4 linked regions of the Drosophila melanogaster genome follow. The protein of the gene in region 2 interacts with the protein of the main gene of each other region in a pairwise test. Each region holds a gene or a part of one and is shown on either strand. Other genes may lie near its edges. The genes, in order: Liprin-gamma, Mat1, Vm26Ab and CG33109.

What was found.
Region 1: the proteins of Mat1 (region 2) and Liprin-gamma interact in a two-hybrid assay, tested with the Drosophila melanogaster proteins (one large-scale study listed by BioGRID).
Region 3: the proteins of Mat1 (region 2) and Vm26Ab interact in a two-hybrid assay, tested with the Drosophila melanogaster proteins (one large-scale study listed by BioGRID).
Region 4: the proteins of Mat1 (region 2) and CG33109 interact in a two-hybrid assay, tested with the Drosophila melanogaster proteins (one large-scale study listed by BioGRID).

The regions. Positions count from the first base shown.
Region 1 is NT_033778.4:22,348,967-22,358,081, reverse strand, and holds the start of Liprin-gamma (Liprin-gamma), read left to right. Parts: upstream 1-3,373; 5' UTR 3,374-3,694; intron 3,695-9,115.
Region 2 is NT_033778.4:10,735,547-10,743,036, reverse strand, and holds Mat1 (menage a trois 1), read left to right. Parts: upstream 1-3,207; 5' UTR 3,208-3,316; coding exon 3,317-4,279; 3' UTR 4,280-4,420; downstream 4,421-7,490. Other genes in the region: CG33144 (uncharacterized protein), read left to right, coding at 964-1,126, 1,188-1,456, 1,590-1,793, 1,851-2,108; CG7220 (uncharacterized protein), read right to left, coding at 5,667-5,680, 5,746-5,977, 6,042-6,144, 6,289-6,380, 6,982-7,113.
Region 3 is NT_033779.5:5,953,196-5,960,439, forward strand, and holds Vm26Ab (vitelline membrane 26Ab), read left to right. Parts: upstream 1-3,808; 5' UTR 3,809-3,870; coding exon 3,871-4,377; 3' UTR 4,378-4,444; downstream 4,445-7,244. Other genes in the region: CG9044 (uncharacterized protein), read left to right, coding at 221-1,282, 1,340-1,806; CG13999 (uncharacterized protein), read right to left, coding at 2,419-2,528, 2,586-2,839, 2,897-3,030; CG13998 (uncharacterized protein), read right to left, coding at 3,317-3,610; Vm26Ac (vitelline membrane 26Aac), read right to left, coding at 4,851-5,396; Vm26Aa (vitelline membrane 26Aa), read right to left, coding at 6,639-7,064. UniProt on the Drosophila melanogaster protein: Major early eggshell protein secreted by follicle cells into the perivitelline space and incorporated into the vitelline membrane. Involved in vitelline membrane biogenesis; forms a cross-linked network with other vitelline membrane components.
Region 4 is NT_033777.3:14,217,795-14,225,332, forward strand, and holds CG33109 (uncharacterized protein), read right to left. Parts: upstream 3,791-7,538; 5' UTR 3,786-3,790; coding exon 2,895-3,785; 3' UTR 2,766-2,894; downstream 1-2,765. Other genes in the region: CG31326 (uncharacterized protein), read right to left, coding at 529-946, 1,009-1,777, 1,835-2,000, 2,191-2,400; Sp212 (Serine-peptidase 212), read right to left, coding at 4,334-4,739, 4,958-5,738, 5,849-6,014, 6,088-6,285; CG9631 (uncharacterized protein), read right to left, coding at 7,387-7,538.

The sequences.
Region 1 (9,115 bases), about 12 Mb from region 2:
GCCGCATTGGCTTCGCCTGCCTTATAATAGACATTAATAATATATCGCCGTTTCCGCTCCAGACTCCTTCTCATCCGATTGCAGTGGCAAGTGCGATAAACCGTTTAGCAACATCCGGAAACGGAGAGAGAGAGAGAGCAGAGATAGAGCGCTATGGTCGAGTGTCGCGACTATTGGATACCCGTTAATCAGATGGAGAGGATAAAGATAAAAAAGAAGAAATGAAATGCCTTATCATTTCCATTAAATTGGTTTTAATAGTCAGATTTTTGCTATGTCATGCTTTTCAACAAATCGATCATACCCTTGTACTCAACGAGTAACGGGTATAAAAGAAGGAAATAGTGTAAAGCACAATCCTAGCGAAATTGCGAAATTGCTGCCCTGACCATCCACTCTCTATCTCTGGACATTTACATACTAATTCGATTCATTACTGTCCAGCCAGGGCTGGAATCTTAATTGAGGTAATCAATGCATCTGTAAGCTGATTTAGGTTGAGTGGTTTCTTTGGACCCCAATCGGCTTAAAATTCAATGCATTTTCAATTTGGCATATTCGCATCTGGCCATCCTTGAACTCTGATCGAATTCAATAACAAGAATTGTATAAGAAGTACACGCAAATATTTTGCAATGAGATATTTGCTCATATGCACACACAATGGCCGTGCAGCAACAAAGGCTTCAAAAAGTATTGGGAAAACTTTGGCGACGACTCCCACCCACAGCAGCCCACTGCCTCCACTTCTCCACTTTCCATCTGCTAACTTTTTGCAGTGCCATCTGCGGAAAAGTTTATTGCGATAAATGAAAATAGGAAGCGCACAACGAACAGTTACAACAAGATGTTGAAATAAGTTGTCAAGCCAACGCATCCGGCTGTTTTATGTATTTTCTACTCCCATTTTTTTCCTGCTTTCTGGGCGTGTATAGTTTTCCACTTGTCTGACTGCGGCGGCTGTCGGCGATAAGCGCAAGGCATTGATAAACATCCCCATTCTACGCGGCACCGCAACTCCATTTCTTTCGCAGCACTCCCGTCTCATGTCCTCCCCCCTTTTAGGTGGGGATGGAGTGGATGTCAGGCAGTGACAATGGCTATGCCGTCCCCACAATTGGTTGGCTTGACAAAACGCTGGCCGGGACTTGTAATACACCTCAAAAAAGTAAGGGTGTCCTGTAGTATGGAACATTATCTTTACACCAACATGTAGATGCATTCAAAATGTCTGGAATTTGCTATGATATGTTGAAAGCCCCCACGCTTAGATCTTGATATCATATTATAACGATGCCAGTAGAAATTTAGTTGCTCCTAATGCAATCTTAGATTCTTCTCTCACTGCATCTGGCTCAATTCTTAAGGTTGAGGTCGTCGTAGTTGATTTTCCGCAGCTCTGCAGGCGGCAGGTTGGAAAAGTGGGCAAGGGGAAATGGAAAAGCGGGTAAATGGAGGGTTGCTGGGGGCGGCGACTGTCAGTGGGACACTTGGCTGTCAATGGCAGTTGAGTTACGACAAAAGGGAAGAATTGCATGGCAGAGACGTTTCCTTCGGCTTCCATGGCTTGTGGAATTTTTCACGCGTCACCTGTGGCAGATAGTGCTGCTCCCGCCGCCTCTTCTCGGCGGGAAGTCTTCTGTCTTGACTTTGTCGAGGGAGTCGGAGTTTTGCCATATATCCTAGGCCTTTTCCGATGGAGGAGCCGAGTTGAATGAACTAGCACCGTAATCGATGCGCCTCCGTGTGTGCGTTTGTTCTGCCGCCATTGTTCGGGATATCAGATACACATATCCTGGCACCGATGGCGGCGTCTGCCAGGAGAGCCACAAAAAAGGCAGCAGGATGGGCTCAGCAGCCGCTTGACATTCATTTGATAACATTTTATTAGCATCAGATGATGGCGGTTATCTCATGGCTGCACTTCACATTTCCGCAGGCAGACAGATGGCAACCACAATGATTGTCAGTCAAAATAAAGACAAACAGTGGCCGTGTCCATGAGTTTGCGGATGCGAAGGGTTCGAAGGGTGGGAGGGGTATGGCAGGAGGATGTATATAGGATATATCGGACCGATTCAGTCAGGTGCAAAGCCCTCTACGTGGCTGCGGCTAGTCACGTCTGCCACTTGTGCTTATGAATGACACTACACTCTCTGGCACGGAGCGGTAAAGGGATTTATCCGGTTCAAGTCCTGTGAGCTCAGGATAATGCACTGCAATGGCTCTCATTCGGATTACTCCACCCTTACGCGTTGATATGGCAATCGATTCCGCTTTGAATTGCATAGTTGCGATGCGGGAAAATAGGTTTGTTTATCAAGCCAATCGAAAGGTAGTAATTGAAAGGATTGCAGAAGAGGCAAAAAAATAACACTTTAATATGAAACTCAGTTATGAATCAATGTTTCCAGTTAAATGTAACTGCAAAGCTGAATCAGAAAGCCACTTTTATCACAGCTGTCAGAATTGTTAAGCCCTTTCAAACTCAATTAAACCATTTAGACTTTAAATGAAAATGCCATTTTCGTTACAATCACATTGAGAGAACAATAATATCAATTTTCATAGATGAGGCGATGCGATTTCTTTGGCTGAAATATTTTGCACGTGTTCATTAAATCTTTTCACAATAATTTGAGCATTTGCTGTCGGGATCATATTATACATGTTCAGCTTTGAGTGCAATACTCACATACTTTCGATTCCTTTGTCAATTTTTGCCGCAAATGATAGTGTACAGTCAGATTGTTTTACAATTAGTAGGAAAGCATGCAGACTGCAGTTGTCGTTGGCAACCTCAAAGTGCGCAACATCCCCACATTTACCCACTTCATCCTCATTTATTGTTTTGAGGCTTTTCATATTTTGAAATAGTAACTCCCCGCCTGTCGCAAACAGTTGCAACCACTGACATTTTTGGTCTTGAGATATTTCATTAGAGTAAAATCGGGCTGTGTGGCCCAACCACACAGTCTGTAAATTGTTTCGTCCAAGTTAAATTGCGGGGAAAATGTATTGTGGCGTCCAAACAAAGTACAATTTATATTGCTGATTAATTGAAAACGGAGGTGGTGTCGTTGCGATTCAGAGCCAGAGCTTGACCTTCGTTTTTGGGAGCGGAGGAGCAACAAGGATTCGAAAGGATTCTTGCGGGACGTTCGGATGGAAAACGTAAACAAACACTTGTCCAAGGCAAGGCTAGGTCGGGTTTTCGAGAGATCCCTGGTGGCTATTTCTCCAGCGATTGCGAGCTTTCGCCAATGCGCATGGGCGCTCTTGTATCCTTTTTCCCATCTCGCTGTGCCTAAGCTTTCGTGACGTCACATGGACGCCGCCAAAACGGCACTCGGGCCAAATGCCAAGGACTCGAGCTCAGTGCCATTCGAGTGATTCGCCCAGTGAGACGTTCCAAGCGCCAGAATTGAATTATTCCCCACATATCCTTCGGTCTCGCTCTCGTTCTCTCTTTCTGTCCTGCTCTCTTCGCGGAGAGTGTGTGCTGGTGTGCGTGTGTGTTTCAATCAAAATCAACAAGAGCATAGCCGAAAAAACTTTCAACCAAAGCGTGTCTAACAAATTAGAAAGCCAGAAAAACCAAATAAAAAAAAAACGAAAATAAAAGAACCAACATTGACTTCAACTGTTGGCCACGTGGTATGTGGCCTTCTTGTTTTTTCAGTCAGAATCCGAGGTAAATTTTTCGAAAACAAACAGACAGACACAGCATCGCCGAAAACAAGAAAAACACTGCGGAGAACAATCGAATTTTTGGGGGGGAAAAACCACCGCCAGTAAAATTCGGTCAATATTTGTGCGAGTGTGCGTGGAGTAGGGAAATTTTTTGGAACTTGTGTGTCACTCTGTTTGTTGTTGTTTCTGTGCGCAAATATAAAGGAAAACCAGCGAACAGCCAAATAGGGAAAAATCTGTGTCAGTCGCGAATTACGCACTATCTCATTTGGGAATTTCGGGCCGCTTGGGTTTTGTGAATGAATAATCAAAGTGTTTGCACGCATTTTTAAACCGATTTGCGCCTGTGCAAATCTTTATTAATTTCCGAGTGGTGTTCTTACTAATGACAACATCAGTAATTGCTGCCAGACACGAAAATCATATTTACCTGCACAGAGAGAAAATGCAGAAACCATTTCGTAAACGAAATAGGCTTACTTCTGACATATATCAAAGGAGCTGTGACTGCACTTTTAGTAATAACTTTAACTTGGTAGTGGTATGTTTGGTGGTTTTGAGTTTTTCAAGAAATCAAAGCCATATGGGTCAAAAGTATGCCACCTGGCTGAATAAATCAAAAGGAACCGGCGGAGAACCGCGGGCGGTAAATGTTGCATATTACGTGAGTTTTTACCACGACCATACGTTACGCATACGCCATGTGGGCCCCCTCCGAAGGCAGCAAAGGCTACCAACAGTGCGTCGCGTAATAAATCGCACGACAATAACTCACGGCACCCAGGAAGGGGGTTGAAATGATGATGGGGATTTGGGACAATAGAAGGGGTAAGCAACCAGAATCGGGTCGGGCTGTGACCAGGAAAGTCGCAAACTGAAAGCTATTAAGCCGAAAGACTTAAAGACTTTTGCTACCCACCTCCGGGGACGGTCTACTCCAGCCCCCTCCCCCGCCACAATTTCCCCTCTCGCTTCAAGCCAAACCACGCACACACACACACACACACACACACACATCCGTTTCCTGTGACAAGGAGCAACAACGAAAACTCACTTAGCCATGCTGCCTCAGCCTCTGTGTTCGCCAGACTCACTTGACATGCTCTTAATACCAAATAAAAAACAAGAGCTCAAGGACGCTGAGAAAACACTCCGTTCCACTTTTGCACTGCGAGTAAGGCCAAAACCCCCAACGCCCCGGCCACGCCGTCATGTGTAAATTTTTAATGTTACCAAGACCCCCAAATGTAGGTTATCAAATTGTGTTCAAGTTGTCTTCGCCAAAAGCGCCGTAGAAAAAGTTTTAGCGCTCGCCGTTTCCCCGGTTGGAAAACATTTTAAATGATTTTGTTGTCGGCGGTTGGTTGTTTTTCGTTGTGTTTCCCTTTAGACGCCCCCTGCCAATTGGGTCAAGCATTTACATTTCACGCCTAGCGAAAAACTCAGTCAGAACTATGCTACTTCGTCACGCCCCCATCCTGCACGCCCCACTCACCACGCCCCACCACCATTCGCCGTGTTGTGCAAGCTCTCCAACGTTCGGTAGTGGTGCATCTATTTAGTCAAATTAAAAACACAAATTCAACTCTGCTCTGCCGGCTGCCACTAATTAATTGCAAACTAAATGAGTTTCTCGGCATAAAACTTTATCCACAGCAAAGCTGATTGCTGTCAGTTTTGCGGCCGAAGGAGGAGCAGCATTCTACTGGCGATGTAGATTGCAGCGAAATCGCTTGGCAAAGAACAGGGGCGGAGATTGGTTTATGTGGCTCCCCTTCTCCCCGAGAAGGAGCCCTGGCTCAAATTGTAATTTGTGCAGCTCCCACACATTCCATTCTCGCTCCATTGAAGTTTTCTGGCTGAGAAAGGGGGGCGAAACCATCGAGTCATACAGGAAATTAGGGCTAAAAGCAAGTGTAAAACGGTCAGCGCAGTGAAAACTTTCTAGCCCGAAAAGGGAAAAATATTGGAAAAAATTCTAACTTTCGAGTCGAAAGTTCACAAATATGTGAATGGAAATACTCAGCATTCTATTTAAACTGCATACGTTTAGACACCTATTTAAGTAACTTTATACGTTCATTTTTAATTCAACTAAAATTGCGTTTGAAGGGTTTTTAAAGGAGGTCAATGCAATTTCGCTCTCTGACATTCCCCTCAAGTGAATGGCTGGGTTTAGTCATCATGTTATGAGTCACACAGCAGGATATGTACGGTCAATGAAGTTAGCCTTTCGGAAATAAAGTGTTCGCTTGCAGGTAATCGAATTGAATGCTGGCTAGCAGACGGCATCCAGGCTCAGCCAGCTGAGCCAGCTCAGCGAGTCGAGTTGAGATGGGCAGGACCTTAATGATGGATGTCAGGACGGACAGGATGACCAGTCACTCACTCATTTGGCATTGAGGGCACTGAGCCATTAAATTCCCACTTGGCGTGTGCGGCGGATTGGATTTCGATGGCTGCTCGCGGCGTGAATCTGTTAATTCAACTTATTAATTTTCATTGAATTTCTCCGTTCGCCACTGTCACAGTCACTGTCACTGCCAATGTCAATTGTCACCGAGTTGTGGCGCCCTAGGGCGGGCATTGACATTATGGCACTTTGGGGTGTGCTCGTTGGTCTGTGGTTTGTGCAATCAAGTCGGTTCGAATGGTTTTGCTCAGCACAAAATACTGCATTAATTTGCATGCATTCTGTAGGCCGACATTCAATCGATATGCCAAAACTTATTGGCCATTTGTTCGGCCAATTCATTTAAATCTTTTCCATCTCAAGCCTTTGATTTATTTAGAGCCTGAGCTCCGGCTCATGGAATGATAAATTAATAAATGTGTGCATTGAATCAAAGGCAACGGCAATAAATTTCAAATATTTTACCTCCCATTTTAAGAACGAAAGCCACAGACGCACACACATGGATACTTGGAATCGCCCTTTCAAATGAGCCTGCCTCCGAGTGCTGTCACACTGGAAGAAGTGAAGAATTTAATAGCCAAGCTGCCACTTAAGAAAGCTCCTGGAGAAGATCTTCTTGATAATAGAACCATTAGACTTCTCCCAGATCAAGCATTGCAGTTCCTTGTCTTAATATTCAACAGCGTTCTTGATGTTGGCTACTTTCCGAAAGCTTGGAAATCGGCGAGCATAATTATGATCCATAAGACTGGAAAAACACCGACAGACGTTGACTCGTACAGGCCCATCAGCTTACTCCCATCTCTGGGTAAAATTATGGAGAGGCTGATCCTAAACAGGCTGCTCACATGCAAGGATGTTACCAAAGCGATTCCCAAATTTCAGTTTGGCTTCCGGTTGCAGCACGGTACTCCTGAGCAACTACATAGAGTAGTGAACTTTGCTCTGGAAGCTATGGAAAACAAGGAGTATGCAGTAGGTGCCTTTCTTGATATTCAACAGGCATTTGACAGAGTCTGGCACCCTGGGCTCCTGTACAAAGCGAAGAGGCTGTTCCCGCCGCAGCTATATTTGGTTGTTAAAAGTTTCCTGGAAGAACGCACATTCCACGTCTCTGTTGATGGGTACAAATCATCAATCAAGCCAATTGCAGCTGGAGTTCCTCAAGGAAGCGTTCTTGGCCCAACCCTATACTCAGTTTTTGCTTCGGACATGCCTACTCACACACCAGTCACAGAGGTAGACGAAGAAGATGTGCTCATAGCCACCTACGCTGACGATACTGCTGTGCTCACGAAAAGTAAAAGTATCCTGGCTGCCACTTCTGGTCTACAGGAATACCTGGATGCATTCCAGCAATGGGCTGAGAACTGGAATGTGCGCATCAACGCTGAGAAGTGTGCCAATGTGACGTTCGCCAACCGAACAGGTAGCTGTCCGGGTGTCAGTCTGAATGGGAGACTGATCAGACACCATCAGGCTTATAAATACCTTGGTATTACCCTCGATAGGAAGCTCACCTTCAGCAGGCACATCACAAATATTCAGCAAGCGTTCAGGACCAAGGTTGCTCGGATGTCTTGGCTCATTGCACCACGCAACAAACTGTCGCTTGGCTGCAAGGTCAATATTTACAAGTCCATATTGGCCCCCTGCCTGTTCTACGGCCTGCAGGTATACGGCATTGCTGCGAAGAGTCACCTTAATAAGATCCGGATCTTACAGGCGAAGACCTTAAGAAGAATTTCGGGGGCTCCTTGGTATATGAGAACAAGAGACATCGAACGCGACCTCAAGGTGCCCAAATTAGGAGACAAGCTCCAGAACATCGCCCAAAAATATATGGAAAGGCTTAATGTACACCCCAACAGCCTAGCAAGGAAGCTAGGAACTGCAGCTGTGGACAATGCTGACCCTCGGACTAGAGTCAAAAGAAGACTCAAGCGACACCACCCTCATGACCTCCCTAACCTGGTTTTGACCTAGAAAGTCTTAGTTTTAAAATTCATTAGAATAATCAAATAAATAATAATTACTATGTTATATCAACTATTATAATTCTCCCTATCATTTTTAGGATTAAAAATCTGTTAGTCTTAAGTAACCAAGACACATTGTAAAATAAAATAATTTAAGCAGATCAAATTAAGTTGCCGCATGGGTAACAGTGCGTTGATCAAATAATAAAAACATCATCGTAATCGTAAAAAAAAAAAAAAAAAAAACACACATGGGACCCCAATAAAAACCAATTTATGAAGCATGCTTCTCAGGGCAATTGCCTGCCCCCAAAACACACAGCCCAAGAGCTTAATTGAATGCGAAGGCAACTGCATAAGGAGCGTCACCGGCAGGCCACAAATCAAATAAGTTGGGCGAAAACAGGTCAAGTGCTCAGCCTGAACTTCAAGTTTGATGCTGGGAGCTGCTAACTGGGAGCAAGATGCTTTTGGACAAAGGGAAAGCACTTAGTTGGCCACCAGCAACACGCTCCTTTGACTCATGATTTGAGATGTGTGTGTGTAGCCAAACAAATATATGTATGTACACACGCTCCTGCTGACTTGCAGTTGAGTGCACATAATCGGGATTTGGCTTTCAGGACGAAGAACGAGCGAAAAGGCAGAAAACTCTACGAAATCCTTTCAATTCGCCACCCACTTTCTACTTGACGAGTCCCCCGGGCGGCGGCTAATTTGTTCTGCTTCGACACAAATTGTAACTAATTTTTCGTACTCAACTTTTAGCTTTCATTCCAATGCAAATTGCCGGACAACCTGGACAAACTTAAAGCCCTAAAAGTTAACTATAAAAACGCAGCATGGGCATGTTGGAAAGTTGACAAGCGATTTTCTGCAACTATGTCGATGGCAGACTTGGTCGAAAAGTGGAAGTTTGACAAGCGCTGCGACAGGCAAACTTTCTAAGCGGAAAATGGTGTCTTCCATACACAAAGGAAAATGTCTGAAGCAGAAAAAAGAACGCAATAGCTAATAACCAAATTGG
Region 2 (7,490 bases):
TGATGACCAGGTGAAGCCTTCAACACTGGGATTAAGAGAAGCTGGGTGTGCACTTTGAAAAACTGCACTGCAAACGTTTAAGAAGGAATAGCTTTTACTAAAATTAGAAAGTTCCTTATTTATTTTCTTTTTAAACTTCGCAAATGAACTGCAAATGAAAAATACGTCAATAAATAACTTCTATTTACATTCCATAACCAAATTCCGAAAGTTAAACATCCAAATTGTGTGGCTCAACCCCTTAGAAATGCAATAATTTCCAATTCGCTTATGTGCACACAAATTTCGCAAAGTGCTTTATGCAGTTGCTTTAATGAAAACTTTCATTTGAGCGGAATATCTAGTTTCATTATTGCAGTTAGCAAACAGAAAGTTGCCAGTAGCCCAAATTCCAGGCAGAGCTGTCCAGAGAAAGGAGAAATTCACTTTTAATTATTTACGGCTAAACAGAAAGTTGGCCAAAAGGAGGAGAGTTGGCCGCAGGAGACACTTTTTTGTGCTACCGACTCGGAAACTTTTCTCCAAAAAGCGTTTTTGCCCGGCTTTCATTTGCTGCTGGCGGGGCCGAAAAGGGAAAATATGGTTGGTGTCGAAGCATTTGAGTATTTCCTTTGGTTCCGTTTGCAATTCCATTACTTTAATGTGCCATGGCGGAAGGGAAAACTTTTAAATCTTTATTTATAAAAGCTTCCGCACAGGCGGCAACTTTTGTGTGCGAGTGAAAATGAAATAATTCCGACAACCGCAGCCTTGTGGTGGGCCATGCGGTTTTCCTGGCCGAAACTATGCCAGCCAAACTTGCTAAATGCCCTGACAAACTTTTCCCTTGGCAAAAAGTGAGGGAGTGAGCTACAACTCTCACATATATGTATATCAAGATATATTTTCCCGACTTAGGTGCGATTACGCTTAAGACGTGCAAATTGTTTAGCTAATTCATCGCCTGCTTCTATTTACTTGCAGTGCATGCGTGCCTACGTTGAGTTCGAGATTTCCGAGGGCGCTTACGAGATCTCCTGTCCGGACGCCACGTGCCCGGCCCAGGGTGCCATTTCCCTGCCCGAGATAGCGAACCTAACTACAACGAATCTGCTAAAGAAGCATCATAGATATCGCCTAAATCGAGGTAAGTCCTTGCCTAAGAGATTGCCTAAGAGACCTCTTAGTAATGTTACACTTTCATTTAGAAATCGAATTGGACAAGACGCGCACCTGGTGTCCACGGGCTGGCTGCGAGACCATCTGCACGGTGGGTGCAGCAGCACAGCCTGGCCAGTCCAGCGTCATTTGCCAAATGGACGAGTCGCCGTCGACCTCGCAGAGCTACAGTCCACAGCAGGAGGTGGCCGGAAACGGAAGCACAGGTGCCGCGGCCGGAAACGGAGCTCCCGTTCTCTCGGTGTCTGTTCACTGTCCCTCTTGCAAGGACGAATTCTGCGGCCTCTGCAAAAAGGCGGTAAGTGTGTGACATTGTTGTTGTTTCCTGTCATAAACATAAATTAAAATTCTATAAAAGGTTTTTAGTTTTGCGCAATTTTATCACATTTTTAATGGTTTCTAGTTTATAATGATTTCTATCCTTTTTGCAGTACCATCCGAACATAAGCTGCGACGAGTTTGGAAGACGCCTAATTGCCGATGGCCAGGACGACATTGGCATACCGTTCGACAACGAACTGATCAAGTGCTGCCCCATGTGCGCGGTGCCCATCGAAAAGGACGAGGGCTGCGCCCAGATGATGTGCAAGCGCTGCAAGCACGTCTTCTGCTGGTACTGCCTGGCCAGTTTGGATGTAAGTTCCTAGAATCTGGCAAGTCTAGGATATTTCATCTAATTTGTATTCCTGCAGGATGACTTCCTGCTGCGCCACTACGACAAGGGACCGTGCAAGAACAAGCTGGGGCACTCGCGGGCCTCGGTGGTCTGGCATCGTGCCCAAGTGATTGGGATCTTCGCCGGCTTTGGCATTCTGCTGCTGGTGGCCTCGCCGCTGCTGCTCTTGGCTGCTCCCTGCATCATCTGCTGCAAGTGCAGAGGGTGCACCGGGTCCAAGATCGACGAGGTGGACGCCGAACTGGAGGAGGAGGTCACTGCGCTGCAGGGCTAGGTGGCTGGATCTCCACGCATCCCCATCCATACGCGACATAGGCTGCAGCCTGTAAATGCAGCTGCTGTAATTACTGGTAGTTTCTATTGTTAATGACGACAGCTTACGTACATTTATTTTAGTTATTACAATTATAATTGTATATGTGTTAACTAAATTGTGATATTTACAGTGATTCGATTTCTAATTGAATCGACAAATTTGTTGAGAACCTATACAAAGACAAGACGCCTTCGATTCTTTTTAGGTTCTGTCTCTACATATATTCTTTCCTCCCCCTAACCACACCTTTGAATATATATTCGACTAAATCAATCTGTATAAATCGAGTAGGTTCTCTTCCTAGCGCATAAGTTAGTCTAAATATATTAGGAGTACGCCTCGTATTGCAACAGTGCTTTTATAACGCACCCACCCAAACAAAATCGCCCGACTCACCCACTCAATCCTTCTCTCAAGTATTACGCATGCAACTAACACCCAAAATTGATGGGTCACTTTGATCAACTGCTTGGCAATGCTTTTATCTACGCAAAAAAATATATATACTGCATATAAAGGAGGTGTATATGATGTCACTACTACTGTTTATTGAATGTATTTAATTGTAAATTTTACTACGCAGCTAAAACAAATGTATATCAAATCGCTGCTCTCGGGTCGCTTGCCTAAAAGCTGGCAGGTGCACCTAGCTGGGGATGATTTGGTTAATGTAAATTATTGAATTATTTAATGCATATACACTCAGAACACATATATCAAAATACGTATGACATAAAAGTGCGTGTATCTTTAAAGAAAACATATTTAAACTTTACTCTTAATGTGAACAACTACCGCGTATGCTGTTTGAAATAAAAATGTTAAAAGAAAACTATGGAATTGGCTTTTATTAAAGTACTGGGTTATTTAATAGCTTAAAATTCTCATTTCATATTCATGGGCTTCATTTCAAGCTTTAAATTTTCAAGCTTGTAACGGCTATTGTAAAACATGCATATAGTATGGCAACGCTATGTTTGTGGTTCGTGTATGTGCTAGATGTGAACTAAAGTTACTAAGCGAAATCACAAACATGACATTACGGGCCAACCATGGTCACATTAGGGAATGCATCAAATAATAATTTATCGAAAACATTGGCCGGCAAAGAGTTTTTATTTACGGATTTAAGCAGCAGAGAGGAGGACAGGTAAACCGGCTACGCGATGGACGACCAGGCGTGCCCGCGGTGCAAGACCACCAAATACCGGAATCCATCGCTCAAGCTGATGGTCAACGTTTGCGGACACACATTATGCGAATCTTGCGTGGACTTGCTGTTCCTCAAAGGATCCGGCGCCTGTCCAGAGTGCATGGTCCCATTGCGGCGCAACAACTTCCGCGTGCAGCTTTTTGAGGACCCAATGGTGGAGAAGGAGGTGGATATTCGTAGGCGAATTCTGCGCGACTACAATAAACGTGAGGAGGACTTTGCCTCCCTGGCGGAGTACAATGACTATCTGGAGGAGATCGAGGACATTGTGTACAATCTGTGCAACAACATCGACATCATCGAGACAAACAAGCGTATTGAGGCCTACAAGCGTGATAACCGTGAGGTCATTCAGCGGAATAAAACCCGCGTGGGACGCGATGAGTACGCGTTGGAGGAGATGCTGGAGCTGGAGAAAGTTCAGGAGGAGGCGCGTAGGAAGGAGCTGGAGGAACTGGAGAACGAGCACAAGAAGAAGAAGGCCCGCGACAAGCAGGCGCTGATCGAGGAGCTGATGTACAGCGGCAAGGATGCCGCCCAAATTGTCACCGAGTTCGCCGAAAAAGCGGAAAAGCAGCGCGAGGAGGAGAAACAGCTTCCACCGCCGAAGCCCGCCAACGAGTTCTCTACGGGCATAAAGTTCGGACAGACAGCTGATCCCAGTCTGCTGCCCGTTCCCAAATCGGAGGAGGGTCCACTTTTCGTATACGAGCCACTTGTTCCTTTCAGTGAGGGACCTGCCATGCCGCCCACAAATGAGATCGTGTCCAGGGGCTATATTGCCCACATACGAGCTGAAACACCGCAGGAGAACGCCGGCGGATTCACATCCGCTCTGGCTTGTGAACGGGCGCTTCAGGAGGCGCTGCAGGGACTCTACTATACGGCTACAACGGGTGTGGTATCTGGCACCTAGCTCTCTAAAAAAATATCCTTTAATGGTCGCACAACCAGAGCACTGAACGCTTAATTTTGTTGAACAAATGTGTCCTATACGAATCCATTCAGTTAACTCGTAACTTAATATATGTTAAATAAATAAATGCTATATCCTACGTTATAGATATTATTTATTCAAAAATATATTGTTGTTGGCTACATAGTAGGTCAATAGATGCGCAGGAAAATTAATCCTTAAACAAGAAGTAAAAAAAATAACATGTCTATATTAGAATAACTTTCATTTGCAAAGAAACTTAGCTTATTCATTTTGATAATTATTCAAATAAGAAAGTTTCCTGAATTTGTATTCTAAATACAAATACAAGAGATCAAAATGAGCCAAACAGAAAAACAGTTGGTTCGTTCGACTACAGACTTCTTTTTATTTTAAATACTTTTAACAGTAAATATTTATAGGCATTTATAGACATATGCTGGATAAACATACATTGGATTTAACTTGCTCTTTATACATTATACGGATTATAGTTAAATCGTGTGATAGTCGGACGAGTAGCTCGTCACATCCTAAGATCTACTTGCACAGTTAGAGGTAAATGTGTTCTGCGATCGGGCCACTTGCGAGATTTTTGGCCACAGATGGACTATCCTAGCCAAGTACATGAACTGGTTAACTTAACGACCTATGCATGGGCAATGTGGGTAGATTACAGAGTGCAGGACTGGTGACAATGAGAGCGATCGGGGATATGGCTGCTAATACATTTAAAATGTCATAATCTTAACTATGATCGCATGAGTTTTGCTTCTCATCTATGATGATAAAATACACAAAATTAATATAAGCTGGGATGGAGGCGATGTGTGTGTGTGCTGGGTCACGCTACTCGGGCAGAAAATGCCGCGAACGATGCATGTGGAATGTGGAAGCAGCAACTGGCGCGAGGTGCCAGAACTATCAAACGTTCAAGTGGTTTGCATACGCTTAGTGGTTAAATGGTAGGATAACATTTAATTTAGACATAAATTTGGTCTTAACAATCTAATTAAAATGTTAACATTTAATAATAGTTTTTCGCACACGCCTTTTGTTGATTACACATAGCTACAATTAGAATTGTTTGCATGCGCCACGATTGTTTGCCAAACACTACCCATAAGTTTCTCGCTAACTTCATTTACTTTGTTGCACATTACGTTCGCATCCGAGTGCACTTGGGTTTTAGTATGCTCCACTCACGAGCAGTGCTTGACCGCCGTCCCACATTTCTTGGATTTCTGGGGGCATCTCGCCGTGTTCTACTTCTGTATTGCTAATGGTGTTTTTTTTTTTTTTTTTTTTTTTGGTTGGATGCGCAAAGCAAACAATAGCAGGCAGTATTAGTAAATGGCAATTTTAACTAAACAGAATCATCTGAAATAAACAATTAGTCAAGTTTAGAGTCAGTGGGCTTTAGTTGGAAAATCACGCATACGTACCGTGGTACCACCATTTAGTCTTTTTAGGATTCTTATTACAGGTTTTTACGTATATCGTGTTGTCCGGCGGACGCTTCTTTTCGCGACAACTACTCAACATGGAGGCTATGCTAAGGCACACGGACTGCACGGACAGCGCCGGGGACCAGTCCTCGGTCAGAATGGATAGGCAGATGTGTCCGTTGCTGTAGACATGCGGATGCACCGGTATATTGGTGCCGATGAAGGTCACCTGGAAATTAAGAGAACATGGTTAAGATTCCATACAGCTTCGCTTTGTTCAACTGAATTATTACCTCTGGCGAATCGAACGGATATTTATTGTTGAATTTGAAAAGTAGCTGGAAGTCCTCGCCCTCGTAAAGTGTGCCCTCGAAACCTTTAATGTTTATTTTCCATCTGTAAACAAAACAGCGATATTAGTGTCAGCTTCCAACAACTGCGGGCTTTGTTTTCAGTGCGAATTGCTGAATTGCGAATTGATTTAAACCAGTTTCAGTTGTCGCTGAACTTGGCCTACTCCGCCTCGAAGTCCATACTTACTCGGATAAATTTTGTTGTACGCTCTCGGTGTCGATGGTTACGCCTGGTGGCGGCTCCTTGATCAGGGACATCAGCTCTTTGTGTAGGCGGCGCTGTGGGGCAGAAAATAAAATTTAAGACTTATATTAGTTAATGACTCGGACAGTTCGCCGTATATCTTATCGCGAAACACACCTACAGCTGGGACATTCTACTTAAGAGTTCTCAAGACTTATTTTTTCCGCTCGCCTTATCGGTGCGCCATTTCTCCTTTGGCTTACAAACGCCAATATACGCTATATGCCTACGCGCGTATAAATAAACGAAATGCTCGATAAGATAAAAACAAATGTCACTGAAATTTATAGAACCGACGATTGTTTTTCCGTCTTTCGGATCCCCCTTCTTATCGAGTGATTGGCACTTGCAGGCCCGTTTTCTGTACCATAAACAAGTATCGCACCGCTGCCCCCACAAATGAGCTGCGGATAAATGGGTTTGATCGATAAGGTTTGGATTTGGCAATGCCAAGAATAATAAAAACAAATCTTGGTACAGCCTTGAAGAGAATCAACAGAAGATTCACGCAGATTTCTTGAAACTCAAAATACTACATACTCATGATGCAATGGAACACTATATGTATATTAACGACCAGTTGTTCGAACGCGATATCTGGCCAAAGTTCAGGTTTAATATCTCGAATATACTTGCCTCCCATCGCGAGTTGTCCAACTGCAAAGGTTTTCCGCACTTGGAGACCGGCGGTGTTTTGGGCTCCTTGGGCTCGGTTAAAATCTCCGATTTGGGTATTTTGTCTTTGGGTTTTTTAAACAGCTTCATCATTTTGTAGTTCTAGTTTTCACACAGTTTCTCACAAATTTTAGCTTTTGTTGTGTCACCTATAACTTGTCACTTTTAGGCAGATTGCTCTCGGCTTGCTGGGCTTGCTTTTAAGTATTTAAGTTAGTTAGTCGCACAGTTCAATATGCCAGCGTTTTTCCTAGGAGGCGAGAGTGGGCGTGGGGCATGGCAGTCATTTTATTAGCGAACCGATTCGTGTAGACCAATTGCGGCAACGTTCGTGGGACGACTGCAGGAAAGCGCCCAGAAAATTGTGGGAGAGACTGCAGGGCGAGTCGAGTGACGAAGCCCGATGTAGCGACGTGTCTCTGTGTACGTACTGTCGGGCACAAGTAGTAGAAGTCGTCGCCGCTTTCGGC
Region 3 (7,244 bases), on a different chromosome or scaffold from region 2:
ACAAGTCTTATAAAATTTTATTGCACGTCTTGAGCCTTGGTACCCAAAATTATGTATTATCTGAAACAAAATTTAGCTGTTTATAAGACCTGTAGATACCGACAAATATATCAAAATTTAAGCAATAGCTAAAGCTTTATTAATCTTAGAGAGCAATGCTGCTTCCATTAATAAACAATTAAGTTAATTAGAGCACCAGACTAATATTTCAACATTATAGGTTCCGCCAATTCGCTAAATGGAAGCAGCTCTTGCTCAAAAATTACCAACTCACAGAGCTCTTTCGACTCCAATCAATCCGTAGTGGGCAGCTCGAACACGGATCGGGATATGGAGTTTCGAGCCAACGAAAGTGATGTGGACATCATCTCCAATCCGAGCCAGTCCAGCATAGAGGTACTAGATCCGAACTACGTGCAGAGCGCCAGTCGCAAGACCTCAGAAGAGCGCCGCATATCCCAGCTACCTCATCTGGAGACGATACACGATGAAGTAGCGAAATCGAAGAGCTTCATCGAACGCGAGTTTGGTCAGCTTCTGGCGGAGCAGGCTCAGCCTACGACACCTTCGACTGCAGCTCCCTTGGCTCCTGCAAAATCGGCTGTCCCATCCCATGTACCGCTGACAGAGAGCAGCTCGTCGGGATCCGTAACGGACAGCATATGTACTACCTACGAGCAGCAGGCCACTGATGCGCCACAAAATCTACAAAATTCCCTGCTCACCGAGTCGTCAAACAGCCAAGTTAGTGGTTCGGATGCGGAATCTAATAGCCGTTTGAAAAGCGCCGAGGATGCCAGCCTGCTGCCTTTCGCATCTGTATTTCAATCAACCAATCTGCTCATGTCCAGCTCAAAGAAGTTGATCGAGTCGGAGGCAACTGTTTTTGGTACCCAGCCGTACAAGTTTAACTACAGCGACTTTAATGATATCGATCACCGTCTGAAGCTCTACTTCTACCAACGAAAGTTCAAAGAGGATGGCGAGCATTTCAAGTGGTTGGCCAAAGGTCGCATCTACAATGAGCAGACCCAATCCTTGGGAGAAGGGCTTGTGGTAATGTCCAACTGCAAGTGCTATCTAATGGAGGCCTTTGCAGAACCCCATGACGATGTGGCCAAATGGCTGAGGCAGGTCGTCAGCGTGGCAGTCAATCGTTTGGTGGCCATTGATCTGTTGCCCTGGAAACTTGGCTTGTCCTTCACCTTAAAGGATTGGGGAGGATTTGTCCTGCTGTTGCATGACATGCTGAGGACGGAAAGTTTACTGAATTATTTACAACGTGAGTTAACTTTTTGCATGTTGCTTTTTTCCTAATACTTATTATATTTTTTAACAGAAATTCCTCTGCCTGAGCAGTGCAAGCTGAATCATCAACCATCTGTCACACTCAGCCATCAGTGGGAAACTATTGCGTCCGAACCAGTCAAGATGTGCTCCCTGATTCCCAGCTGCCAATGGATCTGTGACCAGGAGAAGAGCTCCTTTGAACCCTCCCTGCTCCTAATCACGGAGACACATTTGTACATCTCAGGAAATGGCAAATTCTCGTGGCTGTCAGATAAAGTTCAGGAAAAGCCCATTCAACCAGAACTTAGCCTTAATCAACCACTGAGCAATTTGGTCGACGTGGAGCGCATTACAGACCAAAAGTATGCGATCAACTTTATTGATGAGACGCAAAACAGGTGCGAGATATGGAAGTTGCAGTTCGAAACGCATGCCAATGCCGCATGTTGCCTGAATGTCATCGGAAAGGGATGGGAGCAGCTATTTGGAGTGCCATTCAGTCTCTCTGGAACGTGAGGAGCGAATTACACTAGAAAATTGAATATAGCCTGTACCAATTATTGTGCAAAGTTTAAAATTGTTGATCTTAATTGACTATGTTATTTAATGTCAGATTAGTTTTATTAACTTAGGCTAGAGCTTTCAATCAATAAGAAATGGTGCTGTACCACGATTTAAATGTAAATATTTATAAATATAGAGGTTATTATTTTTTGAAGTCCTTGCAATATATTCATATATTACAGAATTAAATCGTCTAAATTGTTTTATTTGTTGTTAGATGAATTATAGTTGGTATCAGTAAGTTGATATTACATATTTGCTTCTATTTACACATGAATAATATTATTGGAAACAAAAGAACTACAATATTGTCAAGGAATTTTGTTTGCTAATTAAATAATATTCACACGTGAGTTATAAATGTTATATGCATTTAAACTCGGTCGGATTTATTTTCGACTTATCTGTTAGTGCTATCTACTTGATAATTTCGGCATAGAGGTTTTTCATTTCTGTTTTAAATCGGATGTCTTTATAAACTATTATCTATTTCTATTAATTATCTATATACAGTACACTTCTTATGCTGACTCACTCATCGAAGAGTCCACTTAACCAGGTGTCTTACTTATCGCCCAGCTGATCTGCGATCCAGTCAAGATGCTCCTCCTTGAAGCGAGGATCTGCCATGGTCAGAGCCGTCGACTTGGAGCTGTAGTAATAGAAAACCGACACTGCGGGAAAGAGGAAGATATTAGGATAAGTGTGGAATGAATATTTCCGGAACTCACTGATGCGCTGTGCCACTGATAGGGCAATCAGACCCAGTGGCCAATGATGACCGTCCTCTTCTGGCGGCTGACGGTATTGGTAGATGATCCAAAAGTGCTGGGAGGCGGACAGAAGGAAGTAGATGGTAATGCTGGCCATGAAGAGCTTGCAATTCCGCAGGATTATGTGCGAGGCGCCGACCTGGTACACACACGTCGAGTGCAGGGCGAGGGTGAACAGCAGGTACTCCGCGATAATCAGGGCATCCTGAGTGCTGTGGTAACGTGCTGTGTTCAGAAAGGATATCTTCTCCATTCCCTAAGATACTCACACAAAGAGAATTATGGCTGTCTGCAATCGGTTTCTGGCCAGCGAAGGACCAAAGGCGTTGCAAAAGAGGTCCACTCCCAAAAGGGCGAACTGGAACAGGAGCACCCAGGAGTAGCGTCGCAGTGTTAGCTTCATGGCGGTGTCCAAATGTCAAGCGCTTGTTTTCGGTCAATTTGTTGCGTGCTGACTGTGCGGGGGTTTGTTGTGTCCTTCGTCCTGGTGACGTCAAAGCTACCACTGCGGTCATGCGCTGTGGATTTGTACTATCCCCTTATCGATAGACAGATTTCCATGGAGAACTGGTGAAACTTTGAAAACGTGTGGAAGGCATTGGCGGGAACAGAAATGGGTACGTATTTTTAAAGACCAGGTTACAAATTGGAGTCAGAAAACTATATATTATTCTGGGTTGCTTTTATTATCAGACATATCGAGCATATTCAAAAGGGTACTGCTGCCGTTTTCCCGATCGGAAGGTGTCCATTCTGCCAGCCTGTCGCCGGAATCTCCTGTAGTACTGCTGGTTCATCTCGGAGTAGAAGTTTGTGGGCAGTAGGTGAGACCAACTGTGGTCGCCTTCACCATTGTGGCGGTCCAGAAACTGGAACATCGATGCGGAAGTGACTTCGGCAGCCCCTGTGCGCCAGAATGGCCAGGTTGGATTTAAGGTCACCAGAGCCAAGACCAGAAACCAGAACGTCATCGTCTTAGCCATTTGTGAAGAGAGCTGTTTGGCCAAAACCCGGCACCCAATACCCTCCTCCAAAGTCGACTGCCGGTTGCAGGTGGTCAGCAGATTTCGAGCCGGGGTGCTTCCATTTGCATTTTTTTCGGAACGCTGTCGTTCTACTCCGTCAGTGCGATCAGCGTTTTCCGAGTGGGCTATAAAGTGGATTGGCTGGGAGGCTACAATCAACAGTCAGCCTTCGTTCGTCACTTCAGCAGCAAGTAGAGACAGCTCAAGAACCATCCGCAATGGCATTCAACTTTGGTCACCTCCTCATCGCCGGCCTCGTGGCCTTGTCCGCCGTGTCCTCGGAGACCATCCAGCTGCAGCCCACTCAGGGCATCCTCATCCCCGCCCCGCTGGCCGAGAACATCCGTGTGTCGCGTGCCGCCTACGGAGGATACGGCGCTGCCCCAGCCGCCCCATCGTACTCCGCCCCAGCCGCTCCCGCTGCCCAGGCCTACTCTGCTCCCGCTGCCCCAGCCTACTCCGCACCCGCTGCTCCCGCCTACTCCGCACCCGCTGCTCCTGCCTACTCTGCTCCCGCTGCCCCAGCTTACTCTGCCCCAGCCGCACCAGCTTACTCCGCACCCGCCTCCATTCCGTCGCCGCCGTGCCCCAAGAACTACCTGTTCAGCTGCCAGCCCTCCCTGCAGCCCGTGCCCTGCTCCGCCCCAGCTCAGTCCTACGGATCCGCCGGTGCCTACTCCCAGTACGTGCCCCAGTACGCCGTGCCCTTCGTCCGCGAACTTTAAGGATCGAAACGAATCTGACTTGACATCTGAACCTAAGAATAAAGTAATGCTTTCATAAAAAACATTTAAGATATTTTATTGAAGGGGTATCAAGGGTTTTATTGCTTTTCTACAAGCTATTAAAAAAGTTTCAGCTCTCTGAAATAAATATAATTATTACCGATATGATGCAACAAATTTAAGGTTTTGTGTTTTACTAGTACACCTTTTTTTAAAAAGAACAAATTCGTATATGCAAAACGAGTAATGGGCTGTAAGCAATTTTGAAATTCTAGAACACTTTAGATATATCTTGTTATTTATCGTCTTAGCAATGATTAAAGCGGCACAAAAAGTTGCTCCCAATTTTGGTCTAAAACTAATCCTGTTTATATATTTAATAGTGCCAAACAGAAGTCTTAAATAAATAATAAATATTAAAAAGATTAAAATATTGTTTAAAATTTTCACTTTATTAAAAATCAGCTAGTTCATCAATATGAGCTGTACCCACATGGAACCGGCTTGATAACCGCTTCGCAGGAGAACACATAGTTCTTTGGGCAAGCTGGAGAAGGAACTTCACTGAGTGTGGTTTGTTGTTGGTATGTTCCCTGAACCGGTACCTGGGCCTCATCCTGGTCGTAGCTGCGAGCGAAGCCAAATTTGCCACGTCCAAAACCAGGACCTCCGAAGCCGGGACCTCCGAAACCGGGACCTCCAAAGCCGGGACGTCCAAAGCCAGGGCCTCCGAAGCCCGGACCTCCGAAGCCAGGACCTCCAAAACCAGGTCCTCCAAAACCAGGTCCACCAAACCCGGGACCACCAAAGTTGTTCTCCACGATTACCTCCTGTACGATTTGCTGTTGCCTCCTCCTACGGTTCAGATACGCATCCGAGGGCTCGACAGCTGATGATCTCGATGGCAGGCTCCTTAAGCACCCTGTACTTCCTCCACAGGTCGAGGCTTCCAAACCAGCCTGCTGACCCAGAGAACTCGCTCCGGCCAAAAGGGCAAAGAATCCGAGATACTTCCACATGCTGACTTGATATGGTGGCGTTGCAAGCTGAGAAAGCCGAGATGCGGCGTTGTTCAAGTGGCTTTTATAACCTCATGCCACCAGAAGTGCACAACGAAGCGGAAACGGAGATGGCCAAGGTAACACCCAACAAGTGGGTCACTTGGTCGCACATTCCAGAGGGCGAGTGGGATCAGAATTGGGGCGAAGTTGGAAGTTCGAGAAAATGGGCCATTGGCTAGAAGGGGTTAATCCGCTGGGAGGGCCCAAGTCACTACTTGGCTGGGCTCGGAAACCCTACGAGCACCTGAAACCCGAAGGTCAGCACATTGTAGCCACTGCTGCTTTCCGGCTTGTAGGCTGACCGACCAGTCAAGCGATTGATGATGGGATCCGATATCGCATTACCCAATCGCTTGCACTTTTCACTTTTCAATTTTCCGCTTTGTCGCTGATTCGGATGTGTCGCAAGCATTTCTTCTAGCTAAAATATACATTTATGTACAATTTAATAACTATTTTGTTTGGTACCAGCATTTCCTGCAGTTCAGTGACCCACAACGAGCTGCTTGGCACAAAGGTTAAAAACTGAAAGTTTGCTTAGTTACAATCACCTGTATCTGGCGGATGTAGATTTAATCGGATTGGGAAAAGCTGGAGGCAGTAGCCGAAACTACATTTCCTTTTTCAGGAATTTAATAGCTAACGATTTTAAAATGGTTTTATGGTGGTTATAAAATGGTTATAAAATAAATTATTTTAGTACAAGTTATATAAGTTAACTTGGAGAATAAAAACATTGGGTTTACTTCAATGATAAACGTTGATTAGGTTACTAAAATAAATTTTGTCGTCAATTATCTAGTAAGATGATAAAAAGACAGTGCAGCAAATATACTTAAATGCTTCATTTTGGGAATGTTTAAAGAAAATGTTATACTTGGGACTTTTAATATATATAAAGTTATATCAGAATATATATCTTTTATCAAACAACAGCCTGGTAGAATAATAATATGATTTTGTTATTACCAACATTATCTTGGAATGATAATCTAGGCTTGGTCTTCTTCTATTGGTTGCTAGAAACTACAATAGTTATACCCTTAGTAAGAACAATTCATGATTTAGCTTTTTTTTAGTGATTTAATTGCAGTACATATTTTTGGGTATATTTTTTGTCAAATCCATCAAAGCTTATGTTTCTCGGCAGTCGGTTCGTGGTCCTTGGGCGATGATCGCAGTCGCAGTCGGAGCAGGTGCTTAGTACTGGTAGCCATAGGTCTGGGGCACGTAGGCGCTGTACAGCTGCTGCTGGTGCTGGGGCACGCCGTAGTTGGGGGCGACGTAGGTGGCCACCGGGGAGGAGTAGGCGCCGGCGGATCCGTAGCTGGGAGCTGGAGCGCTGCATGGCACGGGGGCAAGGTTGGGCTGGCAGCTGAACAGGTAGTTCTTGGGGCAGGGAGGAGCTGGGATGCTGGAGCCGCCATAGCCGCCGGAGCTGCCGCCGTAGGCAGACTTACGGAGACGGGTCAGGTCACCGAATCCCTGTCCGGTCACTCCCTCCAGCTCTCCGTCCTGGGTGGTCACCGAGGAGCCAGTGGAGCCGGTGGCCGAAGCCACGTTGGTGGGCGAAGCCAGAGCGGCGGCGGCGAAGGCGACCAGAGCGATGCACACGAAGGATTTCATCTTGGTTGTTGGTGGTTGAAGATTGAGCTGGAGGCGGATGGGAGCTGGTTGGGCTGCTGGTAGTTACCAAAGGTGACTGATGCCAATACCATTCAATTGGCCATCTTTTATAGCTGTCCAATCTGCCTAGTTAGCACTACGTTCAGAACATAATGGCTAGGTCTACTCTTCGTTTTTGCC
Region 4 (7,538 bases), on a different chromosome or scaffold from region 2:
CAATCGCACAGCATTCAGCTAGACGCGAATTTAATCCAATCGAGAATCAGAGGTTAAACCGCACTGATTGAGAGTCGCGCGATGAATGATTGGTATTAGCTCAGCCAATTCGCATTAGTTTCCGATCTAGCTGAATAGTCCGATTCAAAACAAAGCTGCTTGGCTCTCCCAACCTGATCAGAATAAGTGACGTAGTTATACTCTTCAAAAAAAGGTTTTGGGGGACTAATACTATGTTTGACTCAGAATTATTTTTTGGGGCTTAAGAGCATGAATTGGGATTTTATAAACCAAAATAACCAAAATAAATGTTCATGGAAACAAAAGATCCAAAAAAGTTTGCAGTGTATTCAAGATGCGCCGTTTTGCTTTATTATTTCAATGATTAATGGATCCACTTAGAATTACCCATAACGCAATAGTAGGCAGTAATACATGGATCTTCCGATTACGTGATTTTACATTCATCAATGGGAATCTCTTCAAGAAGGGGGCATGCTTTTCATGTTCGCAATCTTCATTTTGTGTTCAATTCCACATTTTTTGGCGAACCCATTCAATGTGCTTGGCCACATCAGTGAATACGGATGGCTTGGATAGCTCACAGGTGTTTTCCTTTTCGTTGATCACACCTCCGGAGATCACTCCCCGCAGCACCCAAACGTCCTGTTCCCGCAGCATCAATGGTCCACCACCATCGCTGGCACAAGGACCCGCTCCCGTTTTCTTGGCACACAGGGAGCTCGGCTGGACCAGAACATGTGGCAGCTCCAGGGCGCAGTTCGCTTCGCTGACTATATTAAGGTCAGTAACCTTGGATACTTCAGTGTTGCCGGTGCCGGTCTCATCAGGTCCCCAGCCGGCAACATAGCTCTTGAGCCCCTGGGGCAAATCCATGCGGTTGCTGGTGCTCCAAAGGCAAATAGGTACTATGTAGTCCGTGTACCTTATTATAGTATAAGCAGTAGTTTTTTATATTTAATATATTTATATAATTTATAGACTCACCTCACAGGTTCGTCCAATCGGACCAGCGCCAAATCGGCCTCCGTAAACTGTTTGAATTGGAAGTTTTCGTGGATAATCAGCTGGGATACGCCGCGAAATTCTCCATCGGAGTGAATGGCCAAAGTATTTCGACCCAAGGAGACGGCCAGCCGAGAGGCGGGCAAATCCCTTCCAGGAGCACGAAAACAGTGGGCGGCCGATAGTACCGTGGATGTGGAGATGAGGGTTCCTCCACAGATGAAAGCGGGTCCGTTGCTCTCCCGTCGTTCGAAAATAGCAACCAACCATGGGAGCTGGCCTCGCTGAAGACTTTTCCCTTGGAAGATCAATGGAGTGGTACTAGCTCTCTCCCGACCGCAGGGAATACCATTGGATGAAGGGTTCTGCTGGGGAACAAGATCTACAGGGCTTCTCACCGCCTGCTGAGGAGCATTAGATCGACTAGGATTTGGTGTCGGTCGTTGTGGGACGGGACTTGGTATCTCCGGCTGAGAGGTAATACCTCTATTCGGATTTGCCTGCTGAGGGGCGGTACCCCATCCGGGATTTTGGAAGGCTGGCAGTGACTCATTACTCCTTCCAAACAACTCTCCGCTATCCTCTAGTCTGGGTTGACTGGGTCTGGTTTCCCTGTAGTCTATCTGTGGACTTTCATCTTGCCAAGCGGGTCGAGGTCTGGTTGGCACAGGTTGGGGATTAACGCCGAAAACCGATATGTAGGAGGGCGTCCAAGTGATTCGCAGCGTAATGCCGGTTCTTGGCTTAGGATCTAGAAATTATACGTCCATAAATTGCATTTAAAATATATTGAACTATAAAAACTTACATACACCGCCACTACAAAGTTGTACGCCATTCAATTGCATGCTAGTGATCTTGGGCGGTATTGTTGGAATAGGAAAATCCACACGGTATCTAATCGGCAAGCCCTGACGCAGATTTTCCTGGGTCACTTCATCATCATCCACCAGAGAGATACTGCCCACATAGTCCTTAAAAAAAGAAATATCAAAAATTAATTGATTAATAATTCTATCATTCTATTGTGCTTGTTTATATATTTTTGCAATGTCAATTTTCATTGCCGCATGGGAAATTGCACAACCGCAAAGTAAGCAAAGTGATAACAGAAGCGACTTATTATGAGTTCAGAATTTCCAAGTTAATAATGCTGAATCTTACTTCGAAATCGTGATATCCCTGCTGGGAGAATTGAAGGATGAGTGTCTGGTTATTGGCCTCCGGATGACGAACTTCCACCAAACCGATGTACTGCCCCTGGTAGCCCTGGTATTGAAATCGCCCAGAGCAGCCATTCCGGGGCAACTGGCCAAGAACCAAGTTAATCAGAGAAGCCAGAAGGAGAACGGTCACCAGCTGATGCGGACTCATTGCAACTACGTATGAGCTGAGCTTTTCCAGTCTATTTTATAGAGATTTTAATTACTCGCATTAAAACTCAAAAGACTCACTCAATGAGCACTGATTGATACCCGATCTAAGTCTCTCAATAGTCAGTGGCTCTCCCCACTTTGTGGGTATTTAAGTATTCAGTTTTTGGAGCTAAATTCTCGAGCGTAAATTGCACTTCCACATGCTAAGCTCCATTAAGCCAAAAAATGCATTAATATTACTTACCTTTTCTTAAAATAACTTTATTAACAGCACAAAGACAATGAATGAACATTTTCTCACAGTAGGTATTTAAAAGATTTAATTTTTGATTTTCTGCTCCTTTATCATAAAACATATTTAATGGATCTCATATTTATTTATTTGTTTCTATAATAATTGGTGCGAAAGGTTCCTAATTATGTGCTGTCTCTGCTATATGTTCGCCAGTGATTATTGAAATAATATCTGATTTTAAATGTATAGATCCCGACTTATTTGGTAAATGTTTCACTCTCAAGATAATCCTCGATTATATCATCTAGCTGTCTTTCTACCTCGACCCGCTCCTCAGTGTATTCCTTAACAGTTTTATCCACACACTGATTACTTTGCCGTTGAATGTCCTCCAACTGGTTGCCCTTAGTCCGCAGATTCAGCAAATTCTGTGGAGCATTCTGGATGCCATCGATAGCTCTTCTGACGTTCCGCCGGCACTTTTTTGGCTTAACGCTGGAACAGCCTTCAGTGACATCGATCAAGTGCTCCGTTGGATTTTGCAGGCCATTTAGGGAACTTTCCAAGTCCAAGTTAAACCGAATCTGATTCCAGATAAACAGACCAACACAACTACGCAATCGAAGGCCGTAACGACTGTTGAAGTTTTCAGTGATGGAAACAGCCTCCGCGGTTCTAAGACCTTTAGTCGACTCCTGAACTTTCGACACCTTTGCGGCAGCCCAGAACTTCCATTCCTCCTGGACATTAAGTTTCGAGACAAGTTGCTCCTCCTCTGCCTTGATGTTCGTTAGGAATTTTAGCAATGGAGATATGCTCAAACCTAGACCAGTTAGAGCTTGCAGAGATTCCTGCAGGCCTTGTCTCCTTTTCTTTTTCCGAGTATTGGGCAAATCGGATAATAATTTTGCCACATAATTGTCAAGAAGATTCCTCAATTGCGTTATCGTTCCTTCGTTCTTGTTTTGCAGGTCGTTAGTTGGACTTAGAACCGAAATACCTTTTTCGTTTAGCCTTTCTGGATCATTGGGCAGAGCTCCACCATCTCCAAATTTATTCCAGATATCAAAAGCAGTTTCTATTGCCAGAACGCTGTCATTCCAGGCAAACTGGACCACCAGGAGGATTAGAAAGCCGCTGCACTTCATCTTTATACCAGGCCTCTAAGAGTCTATATATCGTACTGCAGGCCTTTTATAGCCAATTACATTGGGTACTTAAATGTGCAGCACGCTTCCCAAACATTTGCTCAGCCGATGCCAATCATTTAGCAGTCAATACGTGGGCATATATGTTTACTTTTATGTCATACATGCAATACACATGGCCATTAATTTGTAAGATATTAGCTAAAGAAAGTTAGCGAAAAAGTCAGTTGTGTCTTTTAGCCAGAACAATCAATCGGTTCTACCAATAAAAAAAAAAAGTGGCCGCTGCTAAATCCTAAAATAGATGAACTATTAATGAAGTACATCTCAACAATTAAAGTTATTTTTTTACAAACATTTTATTGTCAGCACGTAGCAACCTATCTGTACTTTTTTTTGCCTTTCAATCATCCATCATTGCCAATAAAATAAGTGAAAGATGGGAGGCGCAAACTCGTTTTGCCGAAAATCACCAGACAGTGAAACATCTAAATATCTTTTGGCATTAAAGTTTTTAATTTGATTGTCCACAAAGCAAATCCGGATGCTCAGCGAATGTTTTCGCTTATCCAGTTGATGTGCTTGGAAAGATCGCAGTACAGTACATACTGATTAAGCTGGCAGGTGCCGGCAGGTCCGCGTTCCCCTGCAGACACAATACCCCGGAGCAGCCATCGATCGCCCTGCTTGACCATCAGTCCACCGCCGGAATCCCCGACACAGGGTCCAGATCCATCGCGATTTCCCGCGCACAGACTTCGCTCCGTCACCATGGTGCCCCTCCAGGTGCTGGCGCAGACCGTCGGACTGGCAATCTCCGCCTCCACCACGCGTGGATACTGGGTCCTGGAGCTGTCCTCATCTCTCCCCCAACCCGCTATAAAGCCAGTGGTGGACACCGTTCTGCTTGCCTCCACCGTCCACATGCAAATGGGTGCAATAATGTCGTTAAACCTGAAAGAAAACATGATAGTCCTTAAAATATGAACTTTATAAGAGAGATTTTTTCGCATGTTATGAGTATTAAATTATCACCTTCTGTGAGAAGCACATATTGTGATAGAGTAAATATAATATTTGAACGGGAATGCCCATCGTAAAATGATTTATAATATACCTTTTGTATCTCTTGAGTGAAAAATTAAATTACTAATAATTATTTAAATACTCACGTCACTGGCCGTTCAATGGTGATCAAAGCGATATCGGCATCCGAATACGACCGGGTATTGTAATCCGGATGCCAAAGCAATCGCATTACATTGCGCATCTCGGCCCCATCCTCTCCGTAGTCATCCAGATCATAGCGCCCGAGTCCGACGACCACGCGGTCCTCCGTCATCCGATGCACACAGTGGGCGGCACTAATTACAATGCTGGACGAGATCAGGGATCCTCTGCACTTAAAGGCCAGAGCTCGAACCTCCTTGTGATAGACGGCCGATAGCCAGGGGTACTGTCCTCGAGGGAATTCGTTTCCACGCACAATAAACGGAGTTGTGCTGCCCTCTCGACCGCAAACTACTGATGATATTTGGGATCGCGGATCAAAGCGTTGAGGTGGTGGAGTAGCTGGCGGAACGGTTACAACTGCTGGTGGAGTTGGAAGTGGTGGTGGTGGTGGTGGTGCTGGTGCTGGGCTGCTCGTAATAGTTGGTACAGGTGGCGCAAAAGTGATTGGAACACTGGGTACTGGTTGATTCCAGAAAATCTCAGTTGGAGTGGGTGCTGGAGTTACCACTGCTGGGCTTCTGTTGGACACAGTCGTCCAGGGCTGTGTAAAACCACGCCAGATATCATTGCCACGGGATGAGGTAGGATAGAATACTGTCTGCACATTCACATCTAAGCCATCTCTGGTGAAGGGATTGAATACGGAGGAAGGGAACGAAGCCAGCGAACCACTGATGTCGAGCTCATAGAAGCGATTAAAGAAGCTATTGGGCGGTCTGTCTGGAACAGGGCTCAAAAGAATTCATCAAGAAATATGCACATTAACATTGAGGGACTTCAGAATTCTATAAGACAATACCTATTCCTAGAACCTAACACAAGCTACTCACATTCGCTGGCCGAGCACAAGATCTGTTCGTTGTAGGAGAGACGCGTTAGTTTGGGCAATCCGTTGCTTGAATTTGGTCTGACGGCTATTCGAAATTTGGCCGATCCTGTAAGCTGTCGTACCGCATTTTCATCCGGATACGGGATCAGGGAACCCACGGCGGAGGCCTACGAAGTGCGAGGGAACAAAGTGGTCAGATGGGTTGTCAAACCAGCGCGATGATTGCTGGCCAGCTCATACATCTTGTTCACCCCGTTGCGAGAAACGTATATCTATGCGATTCCGACCCCGCATCAAGCTGGGCAGCGTAATCTCGCCCTGCACACCCTGGAAGGCATCGTTGACATAGCGGAAGTAGTCCGGACACGAGTTCTCCGGAACAAGCTGGGCCCCGGCCAAGGCGATTAGCGACACAATTACGATCAATTCCAGACCCATACCTTTCCGGAATCTTGGATTAGAAAAAGAAGCTCTCGGTTCCGCACGCGACAACCTACGGTGGGCAAATAAGACTGATTGCCGAGCATCGGGTATTGCTTACACATCTCGACGAGTTGTTGAGTCACTGAGTATCGGTGTTGAGCAAAACTGGAAATTCCGCATCGTGCTGAGCCAATAAGGCGCAGCTTCCATCAAAACATTTAAGAATTAATCTGCCGACTCTTTGATACTTTGCTCTCAACTAAATCATAGTTTTACTTCGGCTAAAGTAACCAGTATAGTATAATCTGGTAGATTAAGTTAAGTAAATCTTTTTTTGGTTTTCTTGCTTACCTTTCTTTATTAGCCCCTACAAGCAATTGTCTATAATATTGCTTAAAATCGTTGTTTTTAAGTGGATATACCCTTGGTACCTCGTAATCAAATGTCTAGAAGCCATCTGCCTTCTGTGTTTTGAGCGAAAATCCCCTCTCTAGTAATCTTTGACTAATTCGTATAAACAAAACAAGAGCTTCAATACAAAGAGTTTACAAATTATCATCAATTTAATTTTAAGCTTATGATCATAGATCGAATTACTATTCTCAACATGGATGGGCTAACACTGATCGAATGTGTTAATTGATAAGGTGCTAATACGACTAAAGAAATTAAAAATTACATTTATCTTTACTGATAAGCTAGTGAGTCAAAACCCTGCTGTTGCTCACAACTGATTTTCTTGCTCTTGAGTCAAAAGTATTATTAACAAGAGATCTGACATACAGCCTTATTTGTTTATAGTTCTTATTATTATTACTCTCTGATGAGCTCTCACTTGTTTAAATCGAATTCCAAAAGCACTAATAATCTATTCCTCTCTTTAGAAAATTTGTAATCAATGATTGCAAACATCTGCACTTTAAGTCATAGGCTTAAAGCAAGGGTTTTATTTTAGCGCAAAGTATACACTTAATAGATTGTTGGCACCAATGCATGCTTGGGAAATCCACCGACTAGGAAAAGGTAATCTATTATACGACTTAAAGATTTATTGAGAATTTTGTACATAAATTTCCGTGTTTTCCTGTATTGTCACATTATAATTATTTCAGCGCCTCACATGACCATATTTTGACGTACCCAGTCAATGTGCCGTGCAACATCGCAATAGATAACATACTTGCTAAGGTCGCAAATCTCTCCGTGGCGAGGCGATAAAGAGACCACACCACGAACGTACCATCGATTGTTACGCAGGACGATCAGAG